5 linked regions of the Danio rerio genome follow. The protein of the gene in region 5 interacts with the protein of the main gene of each other region in a biochemical or structural test. Links are inferred from orthologs where the notes say so. Each region holds a gene or a part of one and is shown on either strand. Other genes may lie near its edges. The genes, in order: thbs1b, lipoprotein lipase, apbb1, dab1b and lrp1ab.

Evidence for each region.
Region 1: the proteins of lrp1ab (region 5) and thbs1b form a complex in vitro, tested with the Homo sapiens proteins (3 studies listed by BioGRID). The link is inferred for Danio rerio from reciprocal best matches to the Homo sapiens genes LRP1 and THBS1.
Region 2: the proteins of lrp1ab (region 5) and lipoprotein lipase form a complex in vitro, tested with the Homo sapiens proteins (3 studies listed by BioGRID). The link is inferred for Danio rerio from reciprocal best matches to the Homo sapiens genes LRP1 and LPL.
Region 3: the proteins of lrp1ab (region 5) and apbb1 form a complex in vitro, tested with the Homo sapiens proteins (2 studies listed by BioGRID and IntAct, with this or other methods). The link is inferred for Danio rerio from reciprocal best matches to the Homo sapiens genes LRP1 and APBB1.
Region 4: the proteins of lrp1ab (region 5) and dab1b form a complex in vitro, tested with the Homo sapiens proteins (2 studies listed by BioGRID). The link is inferred for Danio rerio from reciprocal best matches to the Homo sapiens genes LRP1 and DAB1.

Annotation. Positions count from the first base shown.
Region 1 is NC_133195.1:31,775,068-31,780,456, forward strand, and holds part of thbs1b (thrombospondin-1), read right to left. Parts: coding exon 5,369-5,389; intron 3,589-5,368; coding exon 3,354-3,588; intron 3,262-3,353; coding exon 3,034-3,261; intron 2,694-3,033; coding exon 2,422-2,693; intron 2,120-2,421; coding exon 2,022-2,119; intron 1,163-2,021; coding exon 1,023-1,162; intron 926-1,022; coding exon 918-925; 3' UTR 1-917. UniProt on the Homo sapiens protein: Adhesive glycoprotein that mediates cell-to-cell and cell-to-matrix interactions.
Region 2 is NC_133177.1:58,679,567-58,686,666, reverse strand, and holds the start of lipoprotein lipase, read right to left. Parts: upstream 4,054-7,100; 5' UTR 3,950-4,053; coding exon 3,859-3,949; intron 3,206-3,858; coding exon 3,042-3,205; intron 359-3,041; coding exon 179-358; intron 1-178. UniProt on the Homo sapiens protein: Key enzyme in triglyceride metabolism.
Region 3 is NC_133185.1:18,263,992-18,270,593, reverse strand, and holds part of apbb1 (amyloid beta precursor protein binding family B member 1), read right to left. Parts: intron 4,755-6,602; coding exon 4,698-4,754; intron 3,850-4,697; coding exon 3,773-3,849; intron 3,042-3,772; coding exon 2,981-3,041; intron 2,910-2,980; coding exon 2,763-2,909; intron 2,542-2,762; coding exon 2,414-2,541; exon of another isoform or gene 2,406-2,413; intron 345-2,405; coding exon 230-344; intron 1-229. UniProt on the Homo sapiens protein: Transcription coregulator that can have both coactivator and corepressor functions. Adapter protein that forms a transcriptionally active complex with the gamma-secretase-derived amyloid precursor protein (APP) intracellular domain.
Region 4 is NC_133177.1:1,741,227-1,748,578, forward strand, and holds the start of dab1b (DAB adaptor protein 1b), read right to left. Parts: upstream 4,575-7,352; 5' UTR 4,392-4,574; intron 1-4,391. UniProt on the Homo sapiens protein: Signaling adapter of the reelin-mediated signaling pathway, which regulates the migration and differentiation of postmitotic neurons during brain development.
Region 5 is NC_133198.1:28,413,036-28,419,637, reverse strand, and holds part of lrp1ab (low-density lipoprotein receptor-related protein 1), read left to right. Parts: intron 1-971; coding exon 972-1,104; intron 1,105-1,199; coding exon 1,200-1,322; intron 1,323-4,025; coding exon 4,026-4,148; intron 4,149-4,225; coding exon 4,226-4,354; intron 4,355-4,737; coding exon 4,738-4,875; intron 4,876-4,986; coding exon 4,987-5,106; intron 5,107-6,602. UniProt on the Homo sapiens protein: Endocytic receptor involved in endocytosis and in phagocytosis of apoptotic cells. Required for early embryonic development. Involved in cellular lipid homeostasis.

The sequences.
Region 1 (5,389 bases), on a different chromosome or scaffold from region 5:
GGGTTTGCTTTTCTTTACGATGTTGAAAAACTTGCTTAAAGTGTGGGTAAAATCTGTCTAGCCAAAGCATTTTGTAAGTGCTACATAAATATACATATATTTAAAAGTCTAAACTTCCCTTAGAAATCAGCATTTGTAAAGGAGACGGGAGTGCTTGGTTATCTAGAGTCAAACGAGTGTTTCTTGTATTGCAGAATCTTTAAACCTTGCTCTGTCCAACTCCTCTTCATACTCTACAACCTCTCGTTTTGCCATTTCAAATGAATTACTAGTTTATCCATCGAGCCCTGAGAAAACTATGCCCACTATACCATGAGTTATCTCCTGCCAAACCTTCTGCTTAGCCAAAATAATAATAAAATGACAGATTGGTCCTTTTAAAAATCACCTTCTTTGGCTGGCAGATCTTTTACTTGTTACATACTTCGATATCTGAAACATTCTCATTGCTTTGCTTCTCAGTTTACAGTTTTAATAAAACACTGAATATCACAATAGTAACCTTTCTTTAAAAGGCTTCTGCTCTTTGAAGTAGCCATCATTTTGGCTTATCTCATGAATAGAGCATAGAAGCGCATGAGAGAGAGAGAGAATAAAGGTTTTGAAGTGCATAGCTGTCTGCTGGGAGCTTTTCCCCACACAGAGCCCAATGAGGTTTTTCAGAGAGATCTCGGTCTTCCCAAATAAGCCAAGCGAGGGAGACTTTCTTCTGCTCTACCTGCTAATGGTGGAGGAGTCTAGATCCGGTTTCTATCCCAACCAGTGACATTACATTGAAGTTGACCAGCTGCTTTCTCACTCCACCGGTGTGCGAGCGACAGCAGAAAAAAAGTAGCATCGAATCTGTCCCTGGACTTTGCTTGGAATACATATTTATATCGAAAGGTGCATCTTTGATAAACTTCCAGCCTGTGCAATTACGCATCTGAAAAAGGAAAAGACAGGAAGAGTTATTGTTGAGTTTCGGGAATTGATGTAAATGAGTGCTTGTTTAGAAGTCTATGCGATGTGTTGATGCTCACCTCTGCATTCGTATTTGAGGTCTGAGAAATACACCATCTCTTGTGAGAAGACGAAGAGACCTAGTCTTCCGCCTGCGTATGTTTTGTCGTAGATTCTGCCAGAATCTGCCATGATCTTTTTGCCTTCATACATGACCACTCTGAAATATGCAGAGAAATATTTTGTCAGCACATTAAGTGAAGATAATTTGGAAACTCATTTCGAGAGGATCACGTGCTTATGATTAAACACAGCTGGTCATGCATTAGCATATTTATGATTCACCAATTAGATGATTCCTAAGTAGCTATAAATACCCTAAGTCCCATATCACAACCATCTTCGTTTTGAAGAATGCCCTCTTCCACCCCTACTTCTCCTCCTTTTTTGGATGGGTGGCATAGTGGCCCAGTGGTTAACATTGTTGCCTCACAACAAGAACATCACTGGTTCTAGTCGTTACCAAGCTAGCCGACGTTTCTGTGCGGAGTTTACATGTTCTCCCCGTGGTCACATAGGTTTCCCATGGGCCCCCCGGCTGACTAATTGACTAATCTAAATCGCCACTATAGACGTGCTCCTAGTAAGTAGCTAAATCTTAAGAGCAATCCCTATCTGTTCATTAGCTACTACGGCAGGGAAGTTTCAAGATCTACCTGAGCTCAAATTCCACTCTTGCCCTGCAACGGGAGGGAGCCCTGGGCTTGAGGATCTTATGCCAAACACGCTTTATAATCAATCATCAGCTAAGTGTGAACTTTTGAAAATAGCCTTTTAAGAATGTGTATGACACATTAATACTAATACAAATGTTTGCTATTTTTCATGTTTTAAGCATCATCATTTAATTTTAGACTTATTTATAGACTAATATTATTTGCCTGCATGATGATTTCAGATGGTATTTGTAATAAAAAATACACTAGAAAAATTTTAGTTTCGATATATAACAATATTTTTTTGCAGCTTTTTAAATATATTAGATTAGGTTTTGGATTTAATAATGTTTATAATATTACCTTATGTGTCCAGTTCTTGGTCTGTGTGTCAGGTGCCATCTGTAAGCAGTAAAGTCCTTCCATCCCACATTCTTTGGGTCATGCCACAATGTGCGCACCTATAACAAATCAAGTCAAATTTAGCATTCACATGAAGGCTCTCAAACCTGATATTATCCGTTTGACTTAAGAAATAAAGAAAATATTTGAAAGAAAGCTGGAAACCTGTAACTATTGACTTCCACAGAATTTTGTTACAGTTTTTCTGACTACTGGAAGTCAATAGTTACAGGTTTTCAAAATATCTATTTCATGTTTAACAGAAGACAGATACTCGTAAAGGTTTGGAATCACTTGAGGGTGAGTAAATAGTGAGTATATTTTCAGTTTTGGGTGAACTATCCATTGAAGCACACTTTACCTGTCCTGGTGTGTCTCCAGTGTGCCAAAGGGCGTTTCTCAGATGCTCCCCAGGTCCTGTGGTGGAATTAACCACTTTGATGGACAGCCCTGAGTAACCCTGTGCTTTGGTAGGTGTGCTGGACCAGTAGGTCTGTGTGATCTGCTTCCACATGACCACATAGAAGCGAGAGCTGGACTGGTATCCGAAAACAAAACCAGCATAGTCGTCATCCCTCTCAGTGTTGATGAAGAATGTTCCACTGAAGTCCACTGAATTGAACTCATCAAAACCTTTAAGAGTTTGAAGAAACAGGTAAGAATTTTGTGGTTGCTGACATATTTTAGTTGTATGATTCATTTTTTAATGCTTTTTGAATTCAGAATGGAATATAAATTAATGGACTGCATAAAGTTTTATCCAGTCATATTTAATATAATAATTATTTTTGTTTCATTTTTGTGCTAGTTAATAAATACATTATATAATGCATGTGTCTTTGCAAGCTAAGGTACCATGCAGGATTTTGTTAACCGTTTATGTATATAAAGTTAGCATTTCCAGGTGTTTTTCCATATATTTTTCTGTCGTAGCATTCATTAAATTTAATTCTACCCTTTTTTTTTAGCTTACCAACAGCAATGCCAGGGTCGCAGTTGACTGTCTGAACCAGCTCTTTTCCTTGATGACGAACCACCCAGTTGGGATCGATCTGAGAAGTGCCCTTGGGATCCAGAGGAACCATCTGGAACTTGCGGAAGTCGGTTTCACTGATATCGAAGTTCTCAGGACAGACATCATAGATATCCAGAACATTGTCCATGTCAAAGTCATCTTTACAGGCATCGCCACGTCCATCGCCTGCAAAAGGAGGAAGGTAAACGCTTAAGTATAAATCTGTACATTTATGAGTGCAATGTGAAGTGTTACAGATATTCCGGTGTAAAACGCACCATCAGAATCTAGCTGATCTGGATTGAAGACCAGTCTGCAGTTGTCTTTTTCGTCAGGAATGCCATCATTATCATCATCGTAGTCGCAGGCATCTCCTTTACCGTCCTTGTCATGATCAGCCTGGTTGGCATTGGGGATGTATGGACAGTTGTCCAGGTTGTTCTGGTGACCGTCTTCATCGATATCCTGGTTACTGTCACATTTGTCTCCAACGCGGTCAGAATCAGAGTCCAGCTGTTGGGGTTCAAGTAGAGAATAAATATTTAAAATTTTTGGTTCAGTATTCACATTTCTACTGCGTTTTAAATTATGGGTTCCTCTTCTGGATTTCAGGTACTTTTATTTAAAAAAAAAAGAAAAAAAAAGACAACAACCATATATACATTTACAAACATCATTTTCATAATGGATGAAAATAAATCACAAATTTAAATATATGTCTTGCCTAGTTTTCTCTATTATACAGTTGAGGTCAGAATTATTAGCCCTCCCATTTTCTTCCCCTATTTGAAGATTTTTTTCAACACATTTCTGAACCAACTAGTTTTAATAACTCATTTCTAATAACTAATTTATTTAATCTTTTCCAGGATGACAGTAAATAATATTTGACTAGATATTTTTAAAAACATTTCTATACAGCTTAAAGTCACATTTAAAGGTTTAACTAGGTTAATTAGGTTAACTAGGAAGGTTAGAGTAATTAGGCAAGTTATTGTATAACAATGGTTTGTTCTGTAGACTATGGAAACTATAATATATATATATATATATATATATATATATATATATATATATATAATATTATAATATATAGCTCAAAGGGACTAATAATTTTGACCCTAAAATGGCTTAAAAACTTTATTCTAGCCGAAATAAAACAAAGAAGACTTTCTGCAAAAGAAAAAATATTATCAGACATTTTGTGAAAATTTCCTTGCTCTGTTAAACATAATTTGGGAAATATAAAAAAAGAAAAGAAAAAAACTATAAAGAGGGTCTAATAATTCTGACTTCAACTGTAAGTATGTGTGTGTATATACATTACGAAATCTTGTTATACTTGCTATTTTCAACGTGACATTATTGTGACATGTATATTAGTGGCTAAAACTTTGAGCTCTCACTGTATTTTGTTCTTTCAGATAATTTACATCAATAACATTATTATTAAACAAGACCATAATCTTACTGCAGAAACACTTGAATTGAGTTTGATTTGGGGCTATTCATGGTCTACTTAAAGTAATTTGTTTATTCTAATAAGCTGCTTTTAAAGTTGAATGAACTGAGTAGAATAATGCCACCTCATTTTACAATGTTTTTAAAAACGCTTTAATGATTTGTTCACAGTTCAACAGAAGTTACTACCTTAAATCTTGCATCTTAAACCTTGCAAAAAGTGCATATATTGTATGTATATTTTATTTTGACTATTATATATCTATTATATATATTTATTTGGCCATTTTATGACACTAACCTGACTAAAGTCTTAAGCCTTGTAAATTGAAATACTGCCACAATAATAGGTTTAAAAGCTTCAGTACTAGTTGACCCATCTGTGTAGGATTTCTCCGAAAGCAATCTCATGTTCCCGAAGCTTGGCACTACCACATTCGCATTTCAGCGTCTAATGAAGAAAGGAGGGGTGCATTCCTTCTCTTCAGTTAACCATGGCACAGGTGTGATCCGCAGGGATTGAGTGCCGACAGGGCATGCATAAACCCACCGGCAAATCTCTCTCTCCTCGCTAATAACCATTCTTTACCTCCATATATCCTCTGGGTTAACTGAACACCAGTGAGTGTCCCTGAAAAGACTCCTAGTGCTTTATTGTGTGCCTTTGGCTTCAAGGAGAAGAGGATTTACTCCTCCCAAACATAGCTTAGTAAAGACTGCGACTACCCTCTGGGTATTTTTTTTGCAATGGCTCTGCAGCTGAACTGATTATATAATGGTTCGAGAACACCTGCGGTATACAGTCACTCGTTATTAAGTCTCATATACGTACCTGATCTGGGTTGTGTTCCAA
Region 2 (7,100 bases), on a different chromosome or scaffold from region 5:
ATTATTATTATTATATTATTATTTATATATTTTTACCTGGAAGGATTATCTCTAATTTATGTGTTTTTGCTCAACCTTAGTGTACTAAGGTTGAGGTAATATTTGGCTGTCATGACGTTATTACAAAAATACAACAGCGATAAAACGTACAATGCTAGCAATGCAAATCTCTGCCTACCTCCAGCCAGTTGACAAACTTGGCAACGTCGGCCCCCACTAGCCTGGTGTTTTCTGCTGATTTGGGGTAGTGTTTGTTGGCCCGATCCAGCCAGTCCACAACAATGACATTAGCGCTGGGTTCACGATCATACAGAGCCGTCACCAGCTTATAAACCCAGCTCTCAAACAGACCCGCAACCTAGAGACAGTATAAGAGGGATTAATATAATATAATATAATATAATATAATATAATATAATATAATATAATATAATATAATAAAATATATGATTGTCTGGAATGCTCAAATCTGATTGGTCAGATTTGCAACATTCCAAGGTTTGTTATTCTGAGATAACAACTGCTAAATAACACCTCATCTGGGAACTTCGAATCACCTTGTCCGTCAGTAAACACGTTCATATCTATATACTTTAAGTACCTTTACATTCATATGCATCTGCTTGTCTGACATGCGACTGTTTTTGTAATAATACTTGGTCAGTCGCTTTATTCTGCTATTTTTGTTTCTGTCTGCTTTGCGTTTTTGGCTGTTTGGCACCATCTAGTGTCTGAATAATGTGCAAGTTAGTGTATACTCCATCAGCTGTTTTCATCTGTCTGCTTTGTGTTTTTGATTGTTTGGCGGCATCTTGTGTCTGAATAATGCACAGGTTAGTGTATACTCCATCAGCTGTTTTCATTTCTGTCTGCTTTGTGCTTTTGACTGTTTGGCGCCATCTTGTGTCTGAATAATGCACAGGTTAGTGTATACTCCATCAGCTGTTTTCATTTCTGACTGCTTTGTGTTGTTGACTGTTTGGCGCCATCTTGTGTCTGAATAATGCACAGGTTAGTGTATACTCCATCAGCTGTTTTCATTTCTGTTTGCTTTTTGTTTTTGACTATTTGGCGCCATCTTGTGACTGAATATTGCGTTGGGCAGCTGTTTTTGTTTTTGTCAGCTTTGCGTTTTTGACTGTTTGGCGCCATCTTGTGTCTGAATAATGTGCAGGTTAGTGTATACTCCATCAGCTGTTTTCATTTCTGTTTGCTTTTTGTTTTTGACTATTTGGCGCCATCTTGTGACTGAATATTGCGTTGGGCAGCTGTTTTTGTTTCTGTCAGCTTTGCGTTTTTGACTGTTTGGCGCCATCTTGTGTCTGAATAATGTGCAGGTTAGTGTATACTCCATCAGCTGTTTTTGTTTCTGTCAGCTTTGCGTTTTTGACTGTTTGGCCCCATCTTGTGTCTGAATAATGTGCAGGTTAGTGTATACTCCATCAGCTGTTTTCACTCCTGTCTGCTTTGTGTTTTTGACTGATTGGCGCCATCTTGTGTCTGAATATTGCGCAGGTTAGTGTATACTCCATCAGCTGTTTTCATTCCTGTCTGCTTTGTGTTTTTGACTACTTGGCGCCATCTTTTGACTGAATATTGCGTTGGGCAGCTGTTTTCGTTTCTGTCAGCTTTGCGTTTTTGACTGTTTGGCGCCATCTTGTGTCTGAATAATGTGCAGGTTAGTGTATACTCCATCAGCTGTTTTCATTCCTATTTGCTTTGTGTTTTTGGCAGATTGGCGCCATCTTGTGTCTGAATATTGCGCAGGTTAGTGTATACTCCATCAGCTGTTTTCATTCCTGTCTGCTTTGTGTTTTTGACTACTTGGCGCCATCTTTTGACTGAATATTGCGTTGGGCAGCTGTTTTCGTTTCTGTCAGCTTTGCGTTTTTGACTGTTTGGCGCCATCTTGTGTCTGAATAATGTGCAGGTTAGTGTATACTCCATCAGCTGTTTTCATTCCTATTTGCTTTGTGTTTTTGGCTGATTGGCGCCATCTTGTGTCTGAATAATGCACAGGTTAGTGTATACTCCATCAGCTGTTTTTGTTTCTGCTTTGCGTTCAAATAAAGAATTAATAAAATATTGTGGCTCAGAGCAGAATTTTTAAGTCTAATTTTTATGATTTGTGGCGAGTAGCCATGTAATAAGTGGGATAAAGTACATCCAAAATGGTTATTTTCGCAGAATAAACCCTTCAGTTATATCCAACCGTCTTTCACATCAGGCTGCCGATAAACCGCTCAGACATTATTCTGTGATAACAACCTCCTGGATGTACTTTATCACTTGCATATCATCTAATATAATTGCAAATAAATATTTATAATTGAAAGTTTTAGAGTGCCCTTAAAAATAGTCATGTTGTTGTATTAGTGGTTAGTTAACACAGCGGTAAGTGCATAAATATAGCTGATTTATTTTCAAACATTCACATGTTAATCTGGCATACAAGATTTACAATTCTGTTAATATTACAAGTCAACATCAGTTAATTCATCTAAAGTCAATGTAATTAACGTGTGTTTAACTTGATTAACTTCTAATATAGTGCCTAAAAACTAATGTCTAACAACTAAAATCTAAATATGTAATTGTTTTATTAAATAGAGTAAATAACTAATTAATACAGCTTTTTAATTAACTTATAACATGTAACTATAATAGCATTACCTATTGTGCACTATAATCCTTTAGCAATTTATTTTGGTTGAAACATGTTTATTATGAGCATGTACTATATATACTGTAAAGCAATACACCAAGTAATTTTTGGGCTATTATACCAGTTTTTTGCAGCTTATAGGTCAATATTGTGATAATACCGTTATAAAAGCTTTGGTAACTAACCACAACAAGTAAATCTGCAACCAGCAGAAGCCTAGTAAGATTAAAGTACAACATGGAATGCATATAGGGAAGCGAAGCGGAGTGAAAGGTGAAAATATAGTAAAAAATATGTAAATAAATAAACATTGCACCAACGTTATGCTTCATTCATAATTAATAAATGCATTTTCTGACTAAATGACTAAACTTACCGACCATCCGTGGATAATAAGGAAGGTTTGTGAATCATTTTTGAAGTTACAGTCTGAAATGGAGTCCTGTTGTCCCGGGACAAGATAGCAAAGATCCTCGTCTGGAAATTCAACACTTCTGATGGAGAACTTAGACTCAATGTCACTGTAATCTGTAAAATTACCTAAAAAGTAATAAGTAAACACTTTGTAATATCATTCACATCAGAACTATTTACTTAGCATATGCATTTAACTATTTAATTTGCTGTATGTGCATGTTAAAGTTCTCATCTGAACACAATCTAGTTGCTAAGATTTATGATTTCCAAGCCATTGTTCTTTGTAATACATGACTTTTATAAAATCTTGCTAATCCAGAATCAGTCCACATGCAATGTCCAGTACAAGTAAATCCTATTAAATAGTACCACACTGATCCTGGACCTGCGAGTTGACAATTTAAACGCAAACATGTATCTATTGCGTTGTTTATATACGTTTACATATTTCTACAGCTGAAAGCAATGCACTTATTGCAAAAGTAAGCTGTCAAATATTTCAATAAAAATATATAACATACATTTAAATCAATAAACTAAGTTTGTCAAGCTAATTTTGCTGTATTATCCACGAATGAGGAGCTTTAACGTTAGTTTTTGTGTTTAAAACGTAGGAATGTAATTCTGAGGGCTAATATAAAGACCCAAAAGCTTCTTACACTCAGTATATGTGTGTGATAGACTTCTACAGGTCATATAGAGCATTAATTTCTGCTGGATTGTACATTAAATGTTAAACATGAACCAGAAACACGTCGAATAGTAGATAGACTTACTTGCAAACGCTTCTTCAGTGGAGTTGAAAATTGGTTCGCTCGCAATTAGAGAAAATCCCATTAGCAGCAGCCAGAAATTTTCCTGTCCCATAGTAAGTTACACAATAAATCAATAATTTTAATAGAGCAAAGCAGTGTTAAGCAATGATGTTAAGCGAATGATTTCAACGGAAGCTCCGCGTGTTATTTATCATTGTGAACCTGCAGCTGTTCACGGCTTTTATACCGAACAATGAGTGTTTTTTTCACGCCCTTCAGCAATTGGTTGAAAGTGAGCGAGAGGCGTGGTTATCAACTCAAAGCGCGGCGCTATCAGCAAATCAAATGAGCGAGATTTACATTCGGCCAACTGTCAATCACAAGCGTAACGTAAACAAATGCATATGCATGAATGAGGCTTTTTGTGTGTTGGCCTGGCTTTGCACAGATTTACACATTGTGATGCTAAACACTTACATTTAAAGAGAGTGACGCAAAAAGCTTATGGTCACAGCAGCCTAAATCCACTCAGTTAAACCTGTTTTTAAAGCATATTAAGATTTTTCTTTGCATGATAAATATTTTTAAAAGATGGTTTAAATGTTTATATAATTAAAAACAATTTTTAATGAATTATGGTTGAATTATAAAGACATTTTATTATATATATATATATATATATATATATATATATATATATATATATATATATATATATATATATATATATATATGTGTATACATACACACACACACACACACACTCACTTTATTAGTAGGGCCACACGGAATCTGCGGACGTTTTTTGCTATTTCTGGGGAGAATTTTGGTAAAAATCTGCGGATTTCTGCGGAATTATTTTGGGGGTATCTAGTGGAGTGTCATAACTAAAACCTTAATATATAAAATAAAAAGTAATAAATTACTGAATAAAAACTGAACAAATTCAGATTTACACATTTACTCAAGTAAATAAACAGAATTAATGATGGGCTAAAAATTTGCAGAAATCTGCGGAAAATCTGTGGAATTCTGTGCGCGCAGGTTCCGTGTGGGCCTATTTATTAGGTACACCTACTAGTACCAGGTTGGACCCCCTTTTGCCTTCAGAACTGTCTTAATCCTTCGTGGCATAGCTTCAACATGGTACTGGAAATATTCCTCAGAGACTTTGCTCCATATTGACATGACAGCATCACGCAGTCGCTGCAGATTTGTCAGCTGCATATCCATGATGCGATTCTCCCATTCCCAAAGGTGCTGTATTGGATTAAGATCTGGTGACTGTGGAGGCCATTTGAGTACAGTGAACTCATTGTCATGTTCAAGAAACCAGTCTGACATGATTCACGCTTTATGACATGGCGCATTATCCTGCTGGAAGTAGCCATCAGAAGATGAGTACACATAAAGGGATGGACATGGTCAGCAACAATACTCAGGTAGACTGTGGCGTTATATATAATGTGAAAAAAAGTTTTATTATAATATTAAGCCTATCAAAATCTAAACACACACAAGCAGCAGTAAGGACTTTAGTAATTTTTTTGGTTGTTTTGAATGACAGTCAGTGCCAGCTTTTATTCGTTATTCACTATAATTATTAATAATAATTAGTCCTTTTTGTAGATAAGTCTGAAGAACAGGAGGCTCATTGTTATTTTAGAGGAACAATAGAGATATTAGTCAAACTCAGCTTTATTGTCAATTCAGCCACATGTACAGGACATATAAAGAATTAGGTGCTAGGTGCCTATAACATATAATGTTAATATAAAAAGTAGAATTTTAAGAAAAATTAAATTTACATTATATACAATTGTACATAAAATGCAGTCTAAAAATATACAAAAGGAATAAAAATTTGTAAACAATACATTTACATTTACATTTAGTCATTTAGCAGACGTTTTTATCCAAAGCGACTTACAAATGAGGACAAGGAAGCAATTTACATAACTAAGAGCAACAATGAATAAGTGCTATAGGCAAGTTTCAGGTCTGTAAAGTCTAAGAAGGGAAGTATTAGTAGTATTAGTGTTTTTTTTTTTTTGGTACAGTTAGTGTGATATTCAGAGAGGCAATTGCAGATTAGGAAGTGAAGTGGAGACTAAATAGTTGAGTTTTTAGTCGTTTCTTGAAGACAGCGAGTGACTCTGCCGTTCTGATGCAGTTAGGGAGTTCATTCCACCAACTGGGCAGATTGAGCGTGAGCGTTCGCGAAAGTGATTTCTTCCCTCTTTGGGATGGAACCCCGAGGCGACGTTCATTCACAGAACGCAAGTTTCTGGAGGGCACATACATCTGCAGAAGTGAGAGCAGATAAGAAGGAGCAATGCCAGAAGTCACTTTGTAGGCAAACATCAGAGCTTTGAATTTGATGCAAGCATTTGCCCTTAATGTCAATAAAATGACATTAAGGGCAAATGAGTGCAAACCAGAGTTGTGCAGATAAAGAACAGTATATAGTGCAAAAAGGCTTGTAAACATGATAGAGCGAGCGCCTTGTGACTGTCTCTGCATTTCAGGCTGGCAGTGCGTCTGGCTGTTGCTTTATATCTGCAGTCTCAGATGTCGAAATGTCTTCTGTCCTCCTTCAGGTTATGCAACGGTCAACAGGAATTTGAAGAATTCATGTTTGTCATTGGCACCCTTATAAGTGTCCTTTAGATATTACTGCATTAGTTGGGTTTAGAATGATTATCAGCCTGTTTGGTCACATAATATTCATATATATATATATGTAATCATTTAAAACCTGAGATACAGCTATTGGAAAATCTGGGAACGGAGTGTTGAAAAAACTTACATTTCGAGAAAACTCAAATTTGAAGTTGTCAAAATGAAGTTCTCAGCAGTGTGTATTACTAATCAAAAATTAACTTTCGATATATTTAGGGCAGGCAGCACAGTGGCGCAGTGGGTAGCACAATCGCCTCACACCAAGAAGGTCGCTGGTTCGAGCCCTGACTGGGTCAGTTGGCATTTCTGTGTGGAGTTTGCATGTGTTTCCTCCAGGTTCTCTTGTTTCCCCACAAGTCAAAAACATGTGGTATTGGTGAATTGGGTAAGCTAAATTGTGAATGTGTGTGAATGGGATGTTTCCAAGTGATGGGTTGCAGCTGGAAGGGCATCCGCTGCGTAAAACATATGCTGGATAAGTTGGCGGTTCATTCCACTGAGGTTACCCCTCATAAATAAAGAGACTAAGCCGAAAAGAAAATGAATGAATGAATGAATGTATAGGTAACACTTTACACTAA
Region 3 (6,602 bases), on a different chromosome or scaffold from region 5:
CATTTATACATTGCTGTTCTCTGGTGGTTAGAAGTGCTTTTTTATTTTCATTAAGAAGTCATTTTGAATATAAGCATCTGCTTGTCAACTACAAAACCCCTACTATCAATCACCACATATTCACTATGTTTTCTGATCCATTTCAAGTGTTAATTCTTCTTATAAATGTCTGAAATGGAGATTAAACCAATCCTACATATTATAGTGTAAATATTAAAAGATAACTTACCTTAGAGCAGATCTCATGCATGCTTGTGGCGATGTTTTTTGCCGGGGTGTCACATCGAAATACATGACACTTGAGCACATGTGTTAACTTGTCCCTGGCCACATATGCAAAGTCCCTGCAATAAAAGAAAACAGCCAAATAAAGAGATCGATGTCAGCCCAATGTATCTGCACACCAACAGCAACTTCCGATAAAGGACTTATTGAAGTATGTGATATGTATTCCCGGAGTGGGGAACAAAACACTGCCTTATAGCTGACACTGCTAGAACACCCTTTGGTGTAAAAAAAAGTCTTAAAAGTTTACTGCACTAGCAATGCTCCCAGAGGTGATGCTTCACTGACATTTCGATAATATATTGTTTATGACTCCATCATAGAAAGATTTTCTATAGAGAAAAACACAAAGAAATACTATATCGGTCACATACACCTATGACCACATATACCGGTTAAAAGTGTGGGGTCAGGAGGACTTTTAAATGTTTAAAAATAAGCTTATCCTGCTCATCAAGGCTGAATTTATTTAATCAAGAACACAGTAAAAAGTGTAAAAAAAAAAAAAAATCGTTATTGCACTATAAAATAAGTGTTCAAAAGTAGTTTATAATTTATTTTAATATATTTTTATTTATTTCAGTGATTTAAAGGTAAATTTTCAGCATCATTACTCTAGTCCTCAGAGTCACATGATCTTTCAGAAATCATAATATGAATTCATAATATGAATAATTATTATCATGATTGGTATTTTATTAATATTTTTATTATTAATAGTAATAGTTATAAACATAATGACAGGAATAATAATTTCATTTGAAGCTACATACAGTAATAAATAAATATTTAATAAATACATTTAACTTTATGATTAATAAATGCAGCTTTAATGAACAAAACAATTTTATTTAAATTATTAAACAAAATTGATAATAACGAAAAAATAGAAAATAAATAACCCCATAATTTTGACCTGTGGTGTACTTAAAGATGTTCTCTTTTACAAATCCACTTGAACATTATGAACCTGTATATTATAAGAGGTAACCAGAGAATCATTAGCCAGAACAAGCAAAAATTATGCCTTAATCATTTGTATGTTTGCTTTCTTCATGACATAATGTATAAAAACATGTAATAAATCACAATGCACTGGCAAGAAATCAGAATCCAACATGACTGCCGGGAGCTCAGACACATACGCTGCATCGCATGAAAGAGTGTGTGTGTGGTCACGTGACGTTTCAGCAGTGTAGTCTGGACGAAGAGTTGTTGAGAAACGCTGGGTGAAACGCTAGTGTGGACGCGGGTCTTTTTTTATTCTAAAACGGCACTTTAAAACTAAAACGTATTAGTGTAAACAAAGCCTTAGTCCACCTATTTGTGATGTTAAGTGGAATTTTGTGTCTTCTAAATTTGGTTTATTAAAAGAAAAATACATAAATTATTGTGTTACTGTACATTAAAAAAAACTACTTAAATCCATTCTCTGAAACAAAATGCTGCAAAAACAAGGAAGACGAATATTCCTATAGAGAAATATGTCTGAAATAGTACAAACTCTAAAATGTCAGTAAAGCAATCCCTCACTGGGTGGTCCTGATATTTTCAATCAATAAGATTATCATCACAGAAAGTTACAACATTTAAGTCAATGTTGAATGAGCTGAGACCAAATGCTCCAACTAAAAATAAAAAATTAAATAAAAATAATATTTTATTATGAAAGTAAATGTAAAGAATAATGTGAAAAATGTAAGAATAAGGCGGAATTTATATAGTTACTTTTTATGAAATACAAATTTAAAGACAATCTCAAATGCAGTTTGCATCAACAAATTAGCATTGTAAAAATACACAAGAGCAAACAAAAACAATATAATATACACAGCAACTCTACCTCTCCCTGGGATCCAGAATGCAGCAGAACAGACAGAACGAAAATATTAAAACATTGCAATGCAGTATTATCTGAATTACACAACAAAACAATCTTTCAACAGCCTATTGATGTTACCATAGAAAAGATTGAATTAAATACAGCAAAACATGCTTCAGTTTGTGTAGCATTGTGCATCTGTCAGTCTACGATCATATGAATATCGTCAGCTGTCATTACAATTAAAAATGAAGCAAAAATCAAGTTAAATTGTAGGCAAATTATTAATTATGCTCACAGACTCACCTGCCATCATCACGACCGACGCCCCAAACACGGATGCTAACGATTGGCTGTGAGTGAAGCAGTGTTTGTCCATGAGGTTCAAACAGATTCAGCATCTCATTTTCCAGCACCAGCAACATTTCCTTTCCCTACACAATGCAAACAATGTCATACAATCATATTATTTGTACAAGGTTTGTAGAACATATAGATGATACTCAAAATCCTGGATTATTAAGGGACTAAGCCGACAAGAAAATAAATGAATGAAGAGTTTCAAATGACAACGGTGGACCCACCAATCCTAATTGAACATTCCTTTGATACTTCCTTTCTTGAAATTCAAATGATTTCAAGTAGATGCACATACCTCACCCCAGATGCCAGCTGTGTCATCTAGATTGTGTTTCTGGTAGGACAACTGTCGGATGCAGTTATTAACAGCAACACTACTCCTGCCAGGAGCCATTTCCTCTTCTGTTATTTCCACCCAGCCCAGAGAACGCACTGCAAAACACTGTAAAACACAAACATGAAGAAAACAAGCATTTCGAGGTCGTGTATGTGGTCAGCCATCGATGCATTTACCTTTGAACCCTCAATACTGCTGAAACAAGTCTGTTCCTCTTCCTCCTCAGTCTGAGAAAAACTGAATAGAAAAAAAAGTAATAGAAAAAAAGAAAAAAAGAAGAAAAAAAGTCAGTGCACCTGTTGCTCAAAAACCAAAATTACAGGTTCAGTTAAAAAAGAATGAATAAGAATGCAACAGAAGCGTCCATAGGTACATAAATGTCAACAAATGCATAACGTCAATGCAATGTTAAACTTAATTTGGTAATACTGAATAATACTCAACTTTATGTATAATAATAATAATAATAATAATAATAATAATAATAATTAGGCACCTTTCTGGCAACTCAAGGACACCGTACAATAAACAAGAGCAATAAAACAACAAGAGAAATAATAAAAATTACACAGCAAATAGTGCAGACAAAATTATTTAGGCATTAAAAGCCATCTTAAATAATTGGGTTTTGAGTCTTGATTTGAAGCGTGTGAGGGAGTCAATGTTTCTGATGGCAGGTGGTAGTGAGTTCCAAAGCCGCAGAGCAGAGCGGTTAAATGCTCTGTTGACGTTAGACGAGCAGAGGGAACAGACAAGTGGAGGGAGGAACAAGATCGCAGGGTGCAAGAAGAAACAGAATTGTGGATGAGGGCAAACAAATATAGAGGGGCGAGATTGTGGATGGCTTTGAATGTTAACATCAAGATTTTTAAATCAATTCGAAATTGAACACGTAACCAATGAAGCTGCTGCAGGACAGGGGTGATGTGATGATACGGGTATATTGGAACCTTTGATTCATCTTGTACCTGAGATTGATTGAGGCATAGCGTAGAGTTGCTCCCTCAAACTCCTTCAGACTTTCATCAGAAGATACAACCTCCGTCTGAAAAACAGAAAGAAAATAAATTATACAGTGTTCCCACTTTAAAGCTAAATATCGATATTGCTTGACCTTCACTGACTAAAAAGCTGCTTGATGTTTTACAGTTACTGTCTGCTGTCTACAGTCTTATAACTACTTGCTGTTTTATGTGGCTGTTAAATTATCCTTTTCTATTTTGTTATGGCTGTACTTGATCAAAAGGGTGCTTCTCCTAAATACTGAGCATAGGGTCTAAATACTTAGGACCATGGGATATTTCAGTTTTTCTTTTTTTATTAAATCTGCAAAAATGTCAACATTTCTGTGTTTTCTGTTAATATAGAGTCCAGTGTGTACATTAATGAAGAAAAAAAAAAAGAACTTACATGATTTTAGCAAATGCAATGAAACAGAGTGAAATATTTACGGGGGTCTGAATGGTTTCCGTAAACACTGTACTTTTTAACACAGAGTAATTTTGAAGACAAATTTTTTAAAATGTATATATTATCCTGGCCTCTTATCCTTGGTTAACAGGTACAATATTGTGACTGTATTTAACTTGAGGGGCATACGAGTTGATAAGCATGAAAAGAATAAAATAGAGCTGAAAAATAACTTGTCCATAACAACAGGTGTGAAACAGTACCATGCAAAAAAAAAAAAAAAAAAAAATAGTGTAGAAAAAAATTATTTTGGTAAACAGTCCAAAATAAGTCCAAAAATATTACATGGTAAAAAACCTCTGACTTTTAATTTCTGGAATAGATATTTTAAAATTCCATGACCCGTAGGAACCCTGACAATATTATCGTAAACAAAACAAAAAAAATTGAATAAAATTATCTGAGACTTCATTATTAACCTACCTGCCAGAGTTCATCACCACTGAATGTGTTCTGGTGTGAAACATCATTCCATGCAATCTAAATACAAAATGCACCAATGTTAAAAACATGTATATTTGCACTCACTTGTGGGTTACTAGAATATGCTGATCAACTAAAGAATTATAATATAATATTATATTAATATAATGTTATATTAACCTTTAAAGATTATGGGCCCTATCATACACCCGACGCAATGTAACACAAGGCACGACGCAATTGTTGTTTGCTAGTTTCAGCTTGGCGCAAGAGTCATTTTGACCTTTTGCGCCATTCTGTTTAAATAGCAAATGCATTTGCAGTCATATGTGCGCCCATAGGCGTTCTGGTCTAAAAAAGGAGGCGTGTTGAGGTGCATTGCTAGCACGTTGCTATTTTGAGAAACTATAATAGATTTTTCAGTAGACCAGAACAAAGCCGGTCTATCGTCCAGCACAGAGCGCGTTAGTTGTGCGCCTCGCTTACACACTGCTTAATACACACAAGATGTAGAGCAATACGCAAATATCTTTAGATATGAAAAATTATAAAAAAAAAAAATAAAAAAAAAAAATATATATATATATATATATATATATATATATATATATATATATATATATATATATATATATATATATATATATATATAGGATATAATAAGGATATATATATAGAATATAAATATAAAGAATTAAAATATTACAAAAAATATTATTTTTTAGCCAACATAAATATAAAAACCATACTGTCATGCCTTCTTCATCTCGGGAGGGTTTTTTAGTTTATTTATGACTATTTGCTTTTGTATTATGTTATTATTATTAGCAGTATTATTTATTATATCCATATTTATATTTGTTTTATTAAAAACAAGCTTAGATTTGTCCACCTGTCAGGTTATAGATCATATGGGGCACAGCATGTGTATTTGGATATAACTCAGGTTTTTGACCACACTTCATTATTATTGTTCATTTATTCGTTTGCTGGAGATTAGAACTGAATTTAGAAATAGTTTTAAAACAAATCTTTGCGCTTAACAATTAAAAATAATTATTTATAGGCTAATTGATGTCTGTGAGTACAAGGTTTCACCATCCACAAGAGCGAAAGTTAAAGTAGATAATGAGAGGCCTTATCTCTCATTCTTGCTCTGCAGATGTTCTGTTTAACTGTTTTCTTGCTGGTGAAACGCTCAGTTTTCTCACTTACAAAGTCGTCATGTAAATAGCAAATGCGCTATGGAGCGACGCAACTGGCTCTTAAAGGGAATGGGAGATGAGACTCTGATTGGTTAATTCTCAAAACACACCTATAACTCATTAAGAAAATAAGCTCAACCCTTTTAAACAATGCGCCCTGCGCTTTGTACTTTGTGCATGGATCGTCAAAATAGAGCCCCATGACAGTAGAGGGGTGACGTTACTGCAGTTGGGCAAGTAAAGCTAAGGTGAGTAATACCGCTTCATCTTAAAAAAAAAGGGGTGGAGACAGGCAGAAACTAACCAGGTTAGGTTCACAGAGTACAATAACATTGTTAAAGTTACCTCTCTTTCAGAAACAGGCTTGACTTACCCAGCCTACTCGAGTTTAACAAACCTGCCGTTTTGAATCAGAAAACCCAGAGTTTCTCTCATTTCAGGGTACATACTGAGTTTTCACTTAATCTCCTTTCTGAAATGGGGCAATGGTCTTGCTGTTTTCAAACATCTCAAATAACGGTATGGCTGTTTTTGTCAAATGCAAATATCTGGTGCAGCATATATCTGGATTTTTGAGATAGATTTGTTCAAAGACAACATGTTAGTAATTAATCTTATTTTTACTCATATTTTGAAGTTTAGGATACTTTATTGAGCTTGTGTTCGTGAGGTTGGTCCGTTTTGGTGCAGAAGAGTCAAT
Region 4 (7,352 bases), on a different chromosome or scaffold from region 5:
TTAACTAGATTAATTAGGGTAAAGTTAGGGTAATTAGGCAAGTCTTGGTATAATAGTGGTTTGTTATGGAGACAATCCAAAACTAATTTTGCTTAAGGGTGCTAATAACATTAATAATATATATATATATATATATATATATATATATATATATATATATATATATATATATATATATATATATATATATATATATATATATATATATATATATATATATATATTAGGGGTGTCACAATTTCGATTTTTAATTGAAATTGATCGAAATTTTATGCTCAATTTCGATTATCGAATCAAAAAATAGAATCGTCAATGCTGCCACGCCCCCATGTCACGTCAGCTTGGCTTGCCAAGCGGGAAAAAAACAGGCTTGTTGAAGTGCTTGTTAAACTGCAGAAGCAGGAGACCCGTCGACAGAACTTAAACCCTCTCCTCTTTCAGTGAAGTCGCCGGTGTGGAAGCATTTTGGATTTCCAGTGAGTTATGTTGACAACGTTCGTGTTGTCGACAAAAAAAAACACAGTTTTGAAGCTCTGCTATGTACGTATTACGTACGGTTCGTCCGATAGACAACACCGGCATCGCGATCCTCCGCCCGCCCCCGTTGCAAATCCGCTCGCGAAAAGTTCACACTCAGGCCCTGTTTACACTGTCTTTGTTTTTAGAACAACGATTTGACATCCACAGTGGCGTGTAGCATTTCTGAGCAGCCCTCCTTCCTCTCTACCTCTGAAAATGCACATCACGTGACCACACAGACACAGACGCACACACAGCCATGCGCTCCAGACAGCAGGTCCAGGCAGTCCGAGGACTGCTTCAATCTTTCACTCACTTGTACTTAGTCATTTTAGCGAACACCTCAGATACTGTTGGCTGGTTCCTGTTGGTTGTGCGTCTTTGTTACCGACGCCATTATAACGACACAGATCACTGCCTATTCACGAGTCCCGCAGAAAAAGTGATTGACAGGTGGTAATTATGTGTGTGTCTTGCCTTTATTCATTTACTGTATAATTTGTTTATGGGTTAAACAGACCATGCAGGTCAGGTAGTTTAAACGGTGGGCTACTAATAATTAATTGGTCATTAATTAATTAATTATTCATAATCGAAAATCGAATCGAATCGTGCCTTTAGAATCGAAAATGTAATCGAATCGAGAATTTGGAGGATCGTGACACCCTCTGTATATATATATATATATATATATATATATATATAATATTGACCTTAAAATTATTTTAAAATAATTACAAAACTGCTTTTATTCAAGCTGAAATAAAACAAATCAGACTTTCTCCAGAAGAAAAAATATGATATAAAATATAGTGAAAAATTCACTGAATCTGTCAAACATCATTTGGAAAATATTTGAAAAAGAAAATTTACAGGCAGGTGAATCGTTTTGACTTTGACTATATGCCTGCATATATAATACTTAACATTTGACTATAATATGAAAAAAACATCTATAATTTTGACCCTTGCCATGTACTTTTTTGCCTAAATGCCAAAAAATATATATCATCCTCCAACATATATGCTGGTTTTGTGATCCAGGGTCACATTTACTCAATCTCTGTTCATATCTACTATTCATTTGTCTTGCCTACTGAGTCTTCTATTATGTAAGCATCAGTCAAACAAATGCGCTTTTCAGGCATGTTCACATTCACTCATCAGTTTTCATGTCAGTCTGATAAGATTTCACATCGCAGGATCCAAACCCCACTGTCTGAGCATTGCATGTAGTATATAAGGTAGATCTGCAAGAAAATATTAAGAGTTCAGATGCAAAACCTCTAAGTGCCATCTAGAATTTTCTTCTACAACGAGCATTTTTCTCCGCCTCTCATGTTTATGTTCAGTTCTTTCATGTTAAAATCGATGAAGGTGACCTATTCTTTCCTACAAAAGTGAAATTACTGAACCAAGACACAGAAGCCTGAGAAAAATGCACACTTTAGAGGAAATTTCAGGTGCCACTTAGAGGTTTTTGCATCTAAACTCTTCATATTTCAGGAGTGAACCACAAGCTAGACAGTTTGAACAGCAAATCTTCAATTTATCATTTTTACATGCAATGTGTTTATGCTTATTTATATAAAGATTTAGGTTTACAGATTTATAACTTGACTGTCTTGAATCTGAATTATTTATAATATTTAAATCAAAACTAGGGGCGGCACGATGGCTCAGTGGTTAGCACTGTGCCCTCACAGCATAAAGGTCGCTGATTCGAGTCCTGGCTGGGTCAGTTGGCGTTTCTGTGTGGAGTTTGCATGTTCTCCCTGTGTTGCGTGGGTTTCCTCTGGGTGCTCCGGATTCCCCCACAGTCTAAACACATGCGCTGTAGGGGAATTGATGAACTAAACTGTTCGTAGTGTATGTGTGTGTTTGAATGTGTGTTTCCAAGTACTTGGTTGCAGCTGTAAGGGCATCCGCTGTGTAAAACATATGCTGGATAAAACCCCTGATGAATAAAGGGACTAAGCCGAAGGATAAACGAATGAAGAACCTATATGTCTTTTTTACATGCTAATTTTTAGGTTTTGTTGGGAGGCTGATCATACTGATTTCTGTGCTTATTTATTTATAATGTGACTGTCTTGAATCTGAATGATATGACAATCAGAACTAATATCACAGCATCAAAGTTTCCAGATCAAACCATATTCATGGATATAAATGCATTCAAACTTTTTTTTTTTTTTTAAATGAGGGATATTTCAAGCCAAACTTGGGTAAAATGTGGACAAACCCAAAAGGTTGGGTTAAATTTGGTCTATGAATTTAATAAAAACAAATAACCAAAAGATTTCCCAGTACTGGATTGTGGCTTAAAGGGCATCCGCTGTGTAAAACATGTGCTGGAATAGTTGTTGGTTCATTCTGCTGTGGCGATCCCAGATAAATAAGGGACTAAGCCAAAGGAAAATGAATGAATGAATGACCAAAATAAATCAAAAAGTTGGATTCATCCATATTTTACCCCAAATTTGAGTTGAAATAACCCAGCATTTTTACTTTGAATGTAGACACTCGGCAAACACATTCCCATTCTGCTATTTTTGCATAACTAATTCATACATTATAAACAATATTGGGTTATTTTACCCCAAAATATGGACACAAACAACCTACATTGCAAAAATGTTCCTACTTAAACGTTTTAGTCTTGTTTCTAGTTGAAATATCTAAAAAAAATCTTAAACAAAGAAGCATTTTCTAGACAAGTACAAGATATTGTTTAAATTTTGATGCATTATTTCTAAAAACAAGACAATATTTTTTTTCTTGTCTAGAAGTTTTAGATATTTAGACTAGAATCAAGACAAAAACACATAATTCTAATTCAAATTTAATTGAATAAATAAATAACAACATCAACAGCTTTTGGTTTGACCCATTGTTGGGTAAAAAATAAGCAGCATTTTAAAAGACTGTAAGATTAACAAATTCTGAAAACTCCATGCGCTAAATTATGCTAAAAGTGTTTTTATGTCCGGGTTTAGTTTTAATAGCCGAAAAATAAGGATAGCTGAAATCACAACAATACCAAAAGCGTATTTTACAAACAGACAGACTCTGGGATTTGGTGCTGGGGGTTTGGATCATGCGATGTGAAATCATATCAGATATGCAAACTGATGAGTAAATCTAAACATCCCTGAAAAGTGCATTTGTTCGACTGACGCTTACATAATAGAAGACTCAATAGACAAAAACAAATGAATATAAACCAATGTTGTTGGAAAAATTATATGAAAATCCTATGAGAAATGTGACCCTGAACTACAAAACTAACACAAAATCTATAATTGTATGCCAAAAATGACTGAAATTGAAGTGAAGATCATGTTCTGTTAAGATATTTTGTAAATGTACTACTGTAAATATATCAAAACTTAATTTTTAATTATTATTATGCATTCTTGTTTAGTAAAACATGAACAAAACCAACCGCTGGGTTAATTATTTATTACATTTACAAGACCAAAAATTGGGTTTGTCCATAGTTTGGGTTGAAATAACCCAGCTTCTAACCATACACAATCTAACACATTTTTAAGTACAGTGATTCACTTCCCACGTTACAATTCAATCAATTACAGATCAATTAAAAAACAATCAGCTAATTAGCAACCGATACGCTACATCATTTATTATATTTTGCTGTCATCATGCTTTCATAAAAATGCATTTTAATTTAACCATATTATTCTTTTCACATCTATATATTTGCAGAACTCATAAAAAAACACCAAAATAAAGAGTTCGGAAATAAAATATCACGTCTATAATATCTTATAATGTCTTATAATATCTTATAAATATCTATAGTGTCTTATAAACACACTGCGCACCTGTAACGCATTGCTACTCACCTCGTCGCGGTCACTTCCGATATACATCCATTTATTTCCAACCATTATCAATGTCCAGCAGCTCCAGTGCTCGGATTATGAGTTAAATCCATTCCTGCATGTACATATAGGCTACATGCGAAAGTCAAATATCAAGAGGCAGCATGTGAAGTTGCTCAGTTTCCGCTTCTCGACGCTGGAGAGAAATGAAAACAGCAGAATAATCGGCGGAGGGGAGAGAAATGAGGCGATGGGGAGGGGGAGAAAAAAAAGCAGAAAGACCCCCGTGACAAAATCATTCAAATGCACGGAGGATAATGCGGAGATGAGTTGAAGGGGGATGGGAGAGGATTAAGTGGAAAATGGGGGAATCAGAAGCCCACCCGTTACATATATATAAACTAACAGATGCCCAAATCTGTAGTGCTTTTGACGGTCTATGTTCAAAACACTCAGGTGATGTACAGGGCAAAAAACGTACGAATAATGTTTTAGATTGGTGTTTAAAAATTGGCTGGAGTCCAACATTAATAAAAATATCTGTAGTTGATGCTGTAGTGTTATTTTTTATTTTGCTTGAATGTGTTGCTATGGAAACGCGATACATATCGAAATACAAACAAAATCACCGGTTGACGGTTGTTGCTAGAACGGATACAGCTGCGGTCAGAAGTTAACGCATTTCCAATATTCAGTAAATCAACCATTACTTGTGTTTTTATTAACGACTACCCCCAGACATAATCCCCACAGAAATATAAAAACAGTAATCATACCGAGTATGATTCATGTTATTCAGTAAATTACCCATTAAACTGCATTTTATAAACTGAGGTAAAGTCTAGCAGGAATACAGCTGGAGTCGGAGGTTAGCTGGAATTATTTCTGTTATTAAATTAGCCATTAATTGTGTTTTATTATCGACTACCCTGACCTCAACCTTAACAGTAATGTTAAAACAGTCATTCACTGAGTGTTATTAATATTATTAATTAAATTACCCATTATCGCATTTTGTTAACGTCGACTCCAGCTGAGGTAAACGTCTAGAAGGGATACATCTGCGGTCGGAAGTTAAAGATTAATTTAATTAACGGTGTTTTATTAACGACCACTCTTAAATCTTACCTTTACAGTAATGTAAAAATAGTAATTATACCGAGTTTTATTCATAGTAATAATTAAATTGCTATTAAATTGCATTTTATTAACTTCTACACCCATGAGGTAACTCTAGAAGGGATGCACCTGCGGTCGGAAGTCGAGGATTATTTATTAATTAAATTAATTACTTGTGTTTTATTAACGACTACTTCAAAGCCATTGACCCATTACCCATTAAATTTCATTTTATTAATGTCAACTCCACTGAGGTAGTCTAGAAGGGATACAATTTAATGGGCAATTTACTAAATAATATGAATAATATAATAAAATACTAGGAGGGCTGAGTTTACGGGTACACATTAATAAAATTAATATGTAGGCCTAATTCAATAAATAAACTTTTGGCTGCAGCTGTATCCCTTCTAGCAACCGCTAATAGTTTCTGCAACTATACACCACAGTTTACTGCAGCATAAAAGTAAAGTATTCTACAGTATTTATTAGTTTACCAGTTCAATAATTCTACGGTTGCTGTATTTTTACGATGAATCCAAAACAATTTATTAAAACAAATTTATTTACTGTAAATTACAGTAGTATTTTTTCAGGTTAGAGAGGCATCCTTTATTCTGACTGACTGTTGTTGGCAGTTCACAACTGTCATCTACGATCATGTCCATGTATTTAGTTTGTCAATTTACAAACATTGCTGTAAAAATTTGTACCGTAATCTTTGAGCGCTATTTTGTTTTTAAAATCGAAGCAGCCTCAGTGTGCAGTGGCATGACTGCTGATATAAACACTAATCCTGATATTTAACAGATGCTTTCGTTCCCAGTTGTTTCTGTTGTGTCTGCAGTGATGTCAGCGCCGTCTGTGTTTGTTTTTGTCCTACATTTTAATCCTGCTGGACGTCATTTGAACGTGTCATTTACAGTGGAAGAGCCTAATCTAAGATTTGTCTGATTTGTAATACTGTCATATAGTGACATTTTGAAACATAAATATCTAAAAAAAATGACTTAATTTAAAAATTAATTAATTACTTATAATGTGGGCGGCACAGTGGCTCAGTGGTTAGCACAGTGTGGCCTCACAGCAAGAAGGTCACTTGTTTGAGCCTGAATCAGTTGCCATTTTTGTGTGGAGTTTGCATGTTCTCCCTGTGTTTGTGTGGGTTTCTTCTGGTTGCTCCGGTTTCCCTCAAAGTCTAAACACATGCGCTTTAGGGGAATTGATTAAATAAATTGGCCAGTGTACGAGCGTGTGTGTGAATGTGAGAGTGTTTCCCAGTTCTAGGTTGCAGCAGGAAGGGTATCCGCTGTGTAAAACATTTGCTGGATAAGTTGGTGGTTCATTCTGCTGTGGCAACCCCTGATGAATAAAGGGACTAATCCGAAGGAAAAAGAATGAATGAGTTTTAATTATTAAGGTATTATTATGGGGATGGCTGGGTATTGAACATTAGTTCATTTTCATATTTTTCATATGACACATGTACAAGTTATAGCTCAAATGAAAGCTCTTGCCGGTGCTCATACGGTTCTAGCATTCTTTTGACTGAATTATATTCACATATCAAACTGTTGTCGAATGAATCTCGGTGTTTCCATGGCGCAGAAGTGAAAACAATACATTTATGATCAATAAGCAGCCCCAGATAGCACAGACAGCTGTCATCTCTCACCTTATGCTGTGCGCTTCAGGGCCATTCTCCTCTGTTTTTGAGGTGATGTGCATAAGTAATCCTTTTATATGTCTGACGTGCTCCAAACACAGTGAATTATGTTTGATCAAACAAAAGAATCGTGAAATATGAAAACAATGATGATCCCTGTGGCTTGTACAGCACCTCTCATCAGTTGGAATACAATA
Region 5 (6,602 bases):
TACTTATGTTTATCTAGCATCCCAAGATACTCTCCATTATTATATTATATTACACACACACACACACACACACACACACACACACACACACACACACACACACACACACACACACACACACACACACACACACACACACACACACACATATATATATATGTGTGTGTGTGTGTGTGTGTGTGTGTGTGTGTGTGTGTGTGTATATATATATATATATATATATATATATATACACACACACACATTTATTTATATATATATATGCGTGTGTGTGTGTGTATATAAATAAATATATATATTTATATATATATTTATATATATATTTATATATATATATATATATATATATAACAAATTGATTGCATTTACATTCCATTCACTTTACTGTGATTACAATTACTCAATGTGTCTACTAAATGAGTTATTGGCTGTTAATTGCTCTGTATGGATATTATTATAGTTACAACCCGACCATACTGCAGTGTAATACTATAATTTTAACAATTTGCTTCACATAATACCTATTAATTATTCATTTATTTTTACCTGTTTTAATTATTCATTTATTTTTACCTATTATGTATTTGTAGTACATTTTAAACTTATATGTAAGTTATATAAATTAGATTGACACCTAAATTGTACATACTAGTGATGTTTCAGTTTGTAATTGTAGTTTTTAATACCACAATAAAAATCCTACCTGAACTAAACATTTTTAAGGACAAATAAATGAGTATAATTTAAGGACAAATAAACATTCTGTATTAAAAATTAAAACTAAATTGCAGAAATTGCTGTGATCGTATGCTGTATCCCTAATCAAACATATTTTGTAATGCTTTATTTATTGAATTAAATATTTTGAATGTGTTAAATTTTATTGTTTTTATTTAACACCATGTGTTATGTTAAGTGATATTACATGACAGTATAATATATGAATCTTTATTTCTGTGTGTGTCTGTTAGGATGGCTGTGATCTGAAGTGTGAGGAGGATCAGTTTCAGTGTAAGAATGGTCACTGTATTCCGCTCCCCTGGCGTTGTGATGCTGATGTGGACTGCCTTGATGGCAGTGATGAAGAGCGCTGTGAGATTACTGGTATGCGTGTCTGTTTATTGCAGGCTTATACATGTGTATTCTTGTTAAGATTGGTCTAATGGATTGATCTGATTTTTCTACTCCTGCTCTCTCAGAGGTGCGGCACTGCTCCAGTGAGGAGTTCCAGTGTAATAACACTCTGTGTAAACCACTGTCCTGGAAGTGTGATGGAGAGGATGATTGTGGAGATAATTCAGATGAGAACCCTGAGGCATGCAGTAAGTATACACACACACATACACGCACACACACACACGTTTGTTTTTATAAAAAGTGGGGACATTACATAGGTTTCCATACATTTTATACATCACAAACCGTATATTATATTGCCCTCACCTTGACTTACCCCTAAACCTAACCATCACAGGAGACTGTGTGCAGCTTTACTCTCTGATTAAACTCATCCTGTGGGATTTATAAGCATTTTGAGAAATGAGGACATCACCAATGTCCTCACATTTTCCTCCTTTTTGTAATACCTGTGTCATACCTATGTCATTATACAGATTAGTGTCCTGATATGTCACAAAACACGTAGACAAACACACATACACAAACACACACACACACTCAACAAAAAGAGATTGGGGAAATTTGGCTTTTCTTATAGTGTTTGTTTTAGTCTATTGTAAAAAAAATCATCCAGAATTTACATTTAACTGTTACATTTGTCAAACATTATCCATTTGTATCTGTAGATTTCAATAACAATGTATATTTTTAATAAAAGCATTTTAATTTAGGAGCATTTACTTCATTTACACCACACTTCATGGTTATATTCATATTTATATTTTGAAGGCTTTGACAGAGGAACATGCTCATGCATAATTTGCCTGAATATATACATTTAATTCTACAAAGTAATTGTGAAAATCATTTTGACTTTAATATGTCCAAAAAAGTTTAAACCAAACCTTTTTGCATGCTTTATGATGTAGTTGCTTGTTTGCATATTTAAATATAGCATTTCAGAGAATGATATACATCAGAATGTTTGTAATTCTTAATGTAATCAATAGTGAAGTATAATGGTATTTATTTATTTTTTTTATTTACCTGCCGGTATCTGTAGTTTATTAAACTTTCGCCGTTTGCTAGTTAATTTATGTAGGAAATTTTAAATAGTGTGTTAAAATAGGATTTCTGGTAACACTTGATTTTTTTGTCACAATTCACTATTAACATATTAAAGGTGCAGAAGGTGATCTGCCACAATGCTAGCCTGTTAGCATAAATCTCTAAAACACCGTCCCTCCCCTGCCGTCCAAAGCCACGCCACCTGAAAACACAAGCGCACGAACCTTAATGAAGATGACAGCAGAACCCTCTCTCATGTGTTGAGCTAAAGCTTGGCCGGCGTCGTGCAGGAATTACACTCATTATTACACTCAATTCTAAGCTGTACTTACATGCTACTTCTGACCGAATATTCAGAGTAGCGGTAAACACCATAGGAAGCGCGTCGCACGTTGTCAATGTTCAAAAATTAACCAATATGAATATAAAACCATCTTAAGCTAAGTAAAGTAGGCTAGGCGGAATAGCGTTATTTACTGATGTTCTGTTGTTAAACTAAATAAAATCTACATTATTAATGCTGTAAAAGGCCTTTATGAAACAGAAAATAGTCACATCAATCTTACACCAGAAGATTTCAGTGGCTAAACTACACTTCTGTGCCTATAACTCAGTCATAACAACCCAGTCTACATCAGCTCTGCGTGACAAAAATAGTTTCAAATCATAACATTACCTGTCCAAGAGAAATACTTGAGCCATGGTGTCGTCCTTCCTCCAGCATGCGAAAGTAACTCCAATATTGATTCAAGATTTTTAAAAAGTTTCGATTCAGCATGTTTTTACTGCTCGCTCTCTCTCTACCACTCTCGTGAACGCGCATGCACGTGTGTCCACAAATGGAAGAGCTGCGTACAAACAGGTGCGCAGTAACTTAAATTTGCATTTGCTGACAGACAGTTTGAGCTCCGTATCAGAATTATGGGAGATGTCAGCTCGACATTTAAATTGGACAAACATTTTTTAGTCTTATGCCTTAACCAGAATATAAAAATACATAAAAATACATTTAGATCACTTACTTTAATCAGTACTATTTGAATGTGAAGAGACTTTCAGCCAGCACAACAAAAAATGTTTCTGAAGGCAGTCACCTACTGCACCTTTAATTAACAGTCCTAGCTTAATAAACTAGTAATTAGCTTTTTATTAATAGTTATTAAGGTAGAAGTTGGGTTTTAGGTATTTGGTAGGATTAGGGATGCAGAACAAGATTATACTTCACTTAACTTCTAATGAACAGTTAATATCTTAATAGTAGGTAAGTTATAAGTAGGCCTACATGGAAACACGCAGATTTATAGCCCAAGTCTATTTATTTGCTTGTGTAAATGTGTTTAAATTTATATTTATTCAGCATTTAAATTATTTTAGTAATATTATTGACATATGAAAGTGTTATAAAGTAATATTTTCTAGTTTTCAGTAGATATTATACAAGAGACTTGCTTAGTTTTCAAAATAAGTGGATCTACTGTAGATGGATTTGCATTGTAAATATTAAATACAATTTAAAAGCTTTTATTTAGAAAATTTCATATATTAAGTTTTAATTTACGATACTCCCAAAATAGCAGAAATAGCAAAAAAAATGTCAGCAGATTCTGTCTGGCCCTAGTTAGCCAGTAGCTAATAGCACAAATTGTCACCTAAGCTAAAGTGTTACCAGACTTTTTTACTATGTCTGTATGGTATTTATTTCATTTATTAGTTATTAAAAAGTCTTTAATTTGATTTTAAAACCTTCTCAGTTGTCAATGTTTTGGTTGATGATGATACATTTAAAACAGAATGAATGCACTTAAAGCTAAGATTAAATCTTCTCTGCTGTTATTCAGGACACTTCCAGTGCCCACCGACTAGAAATTTCCGCTGTCGTAATAATCGTGTGTGTCTCACGAGAAGCAAGCTGTGCGATGGAGTGGACAACTGTGGAGACAACTCAGATGAGGCCAGCTGTGGTGAGTTTTCAGCTCTGCTGTGCATCAGTCATTTATCAGCGAGTGTTTGCATTAACTGTTGTGACGTGTTCATACAGACTATGAATCCACATGTGATAAAGACCAGTTCAGGTGCACCAATGGCAAATGCATCAGTGCCAACCTGCGTTGCAACTTTTTCAACGACTGTGAAGACTACGGCTCTGATGAGATCGGCTGCAAGACAGGTGAGATGCTGCTATCTGTATAGTACAGGTTTGTCACAATCAAAAATGTAAATTATATTACAATTGTATTGTTTTAATAATTATATCATAATAATAATTATACATTTATATCTTGTCAAAGTGCAAAATGCAAATAGAACTAAAAAGTGAATGAGAAAAGGTAGAAGTTCCAGCGAAATATTCTCTGAAATAATTGAATGCCATCCTTTTATGGTTTTTATTTTGTATTTTTATATATATATATATATATAAACATTGTAATTCAAATGAGTTTATTTTAATGTCCCCATCGATCGTTATGGATAAAATAAACGTTTTAATATTATAACTTGATATTGAAGTGCTCTAAATTTCTTTTTAAATTTTTCTTTTGTTTTTTGAAGACACCATGCTGAACGACTGTAAGAGTAACAAATCTCTGTGTGGAGACGGCGATGAGGCTCACTGTGTATCTAATGGCACAGACACCTTCTGCTCCTGCAAACCTGGTTTCCAAAGTGTTAGACACAACACCTGTGAAGGTACTGCCTGCAGTCTTCATAAGACCCAAAGAGACTTTATTACTCAGCACGTTATATCAGAACCTACAGTGTGCGTATTAACATTGTTAATATTGTTGCGTTTTTTTTCAGATAAGGATGAGTGCAAACAGTTTGGCGTATGTTCTCATGTGTGTAATAACACCAAAGGCTCCTACAAATGCAGCTGCCACAAATACTTCACCAGGATTAACCACACGTGCAAGGCTGATGGTACGTACTTTAATTCTTGATTCCAAGTCTGAGGTTGTCTTTAAGGGCAAAAATAACGAAATTCATTTATAAATCATTAAAGATGATTTTGAAATGAAAATTGGGGTCCTTGGAGACTTGTAAAATGCAAGTCAATGCCTACCAGCATTTTGAAAAGAAATAATAATAATAAATTATAATACCTAGTGGCAACATCCCGCTCTCCCTCATGAAGCCAATACAGAAGTAACTGAAATTACAATTTATCAACTTTCCTTTGGGGGCTCCAGGAACTCCAGATGTCCACTGACTGCAATGCTAAATTTTACAGCTGATAAAGACATGTTTATAGCCTGGTACAAAAGATGGTTTTGATGTAAATAGCCAATATTACCTTTTATAACAACTGTGAGGGGGGTGAATTTTTTTTCTATAACTCATCCGTTTAGTTTTTATTAAGTTATATTTAGTCTGCATAATTAAGGGCGTGGCCACTTAATTGACAGCTAGATCTCACTGGTCACGGTCATGCCACGTCAGCTGATTAGCCGCTGAACTTGGCATATAAATCGTATTTTTGTTTTGTTTAATGTGGCTTTACACAGTCAATGGCCTTTTGGAATTATTTCTTACAATTATCAGATAATATGGCATGCTGTGTGCACTTATTTGTGCTCACAAATCATTTAATTGGCCTCCATTTCCCAGGTGAGTGAAATGATCTGTTGACTTCTCTCCATCTGACAGATTGATTAACTGTAGGCAATAGAACAGTCATTGGAAGCATTATCATACAGTTTTATGCCTAGATTTCATAAATAGCTTAGCAGTTACTAACACAGATTATATTTGAAGAATTTGGAAGCAATTTGCTTTTTCCTCCTGTAAAAAAAACTGTATAAAAACAATGCTTAGTGGCTCAATGCTCCACTGACGGTGCAATGACGTGCAAACAAAATGGTGACAGTTGGCCATGCCTACTTGTAGCTTCATTTGTGCTCTTCAGAAACTTCTGGGTGACGTCATGGATACTACGTCCGTATCTTTTACAGTCTATGAATAATGCATGATAAATAAAGGTTTTATGAAGTCAAATGAGTCTGTGCCAGAAACTGAATGTTATTTACAACACACAGAAACCAATTTTATTGTGAGCTGCTCACGGCAACAGATTGAGATCCTGCATGTAAGATTACAAACTTGTATAATTAATGGAGTTTTTACAACTTATTAGGCATTTAAAAAAAAATAAAGGCATTGTTAAAATTATTTAAAAAGTTACCACCCATCTGGTGACTAGCACTGTTACATAAACTTAATTACACCTATTTTTACTCTCCAAGTAGGGCTGTGCAATATGACCGTATATATGCCATATGGACAATATAAAAAAGTCTACACATAATGCTCTATTGTTTATTTTGTAGTGTCACAAAATTCATTGTAATATTGTTTAATTATTTAAATGAGCACCATATTACACATCATTACAGGAATGTAGACAGAAACATTAATAA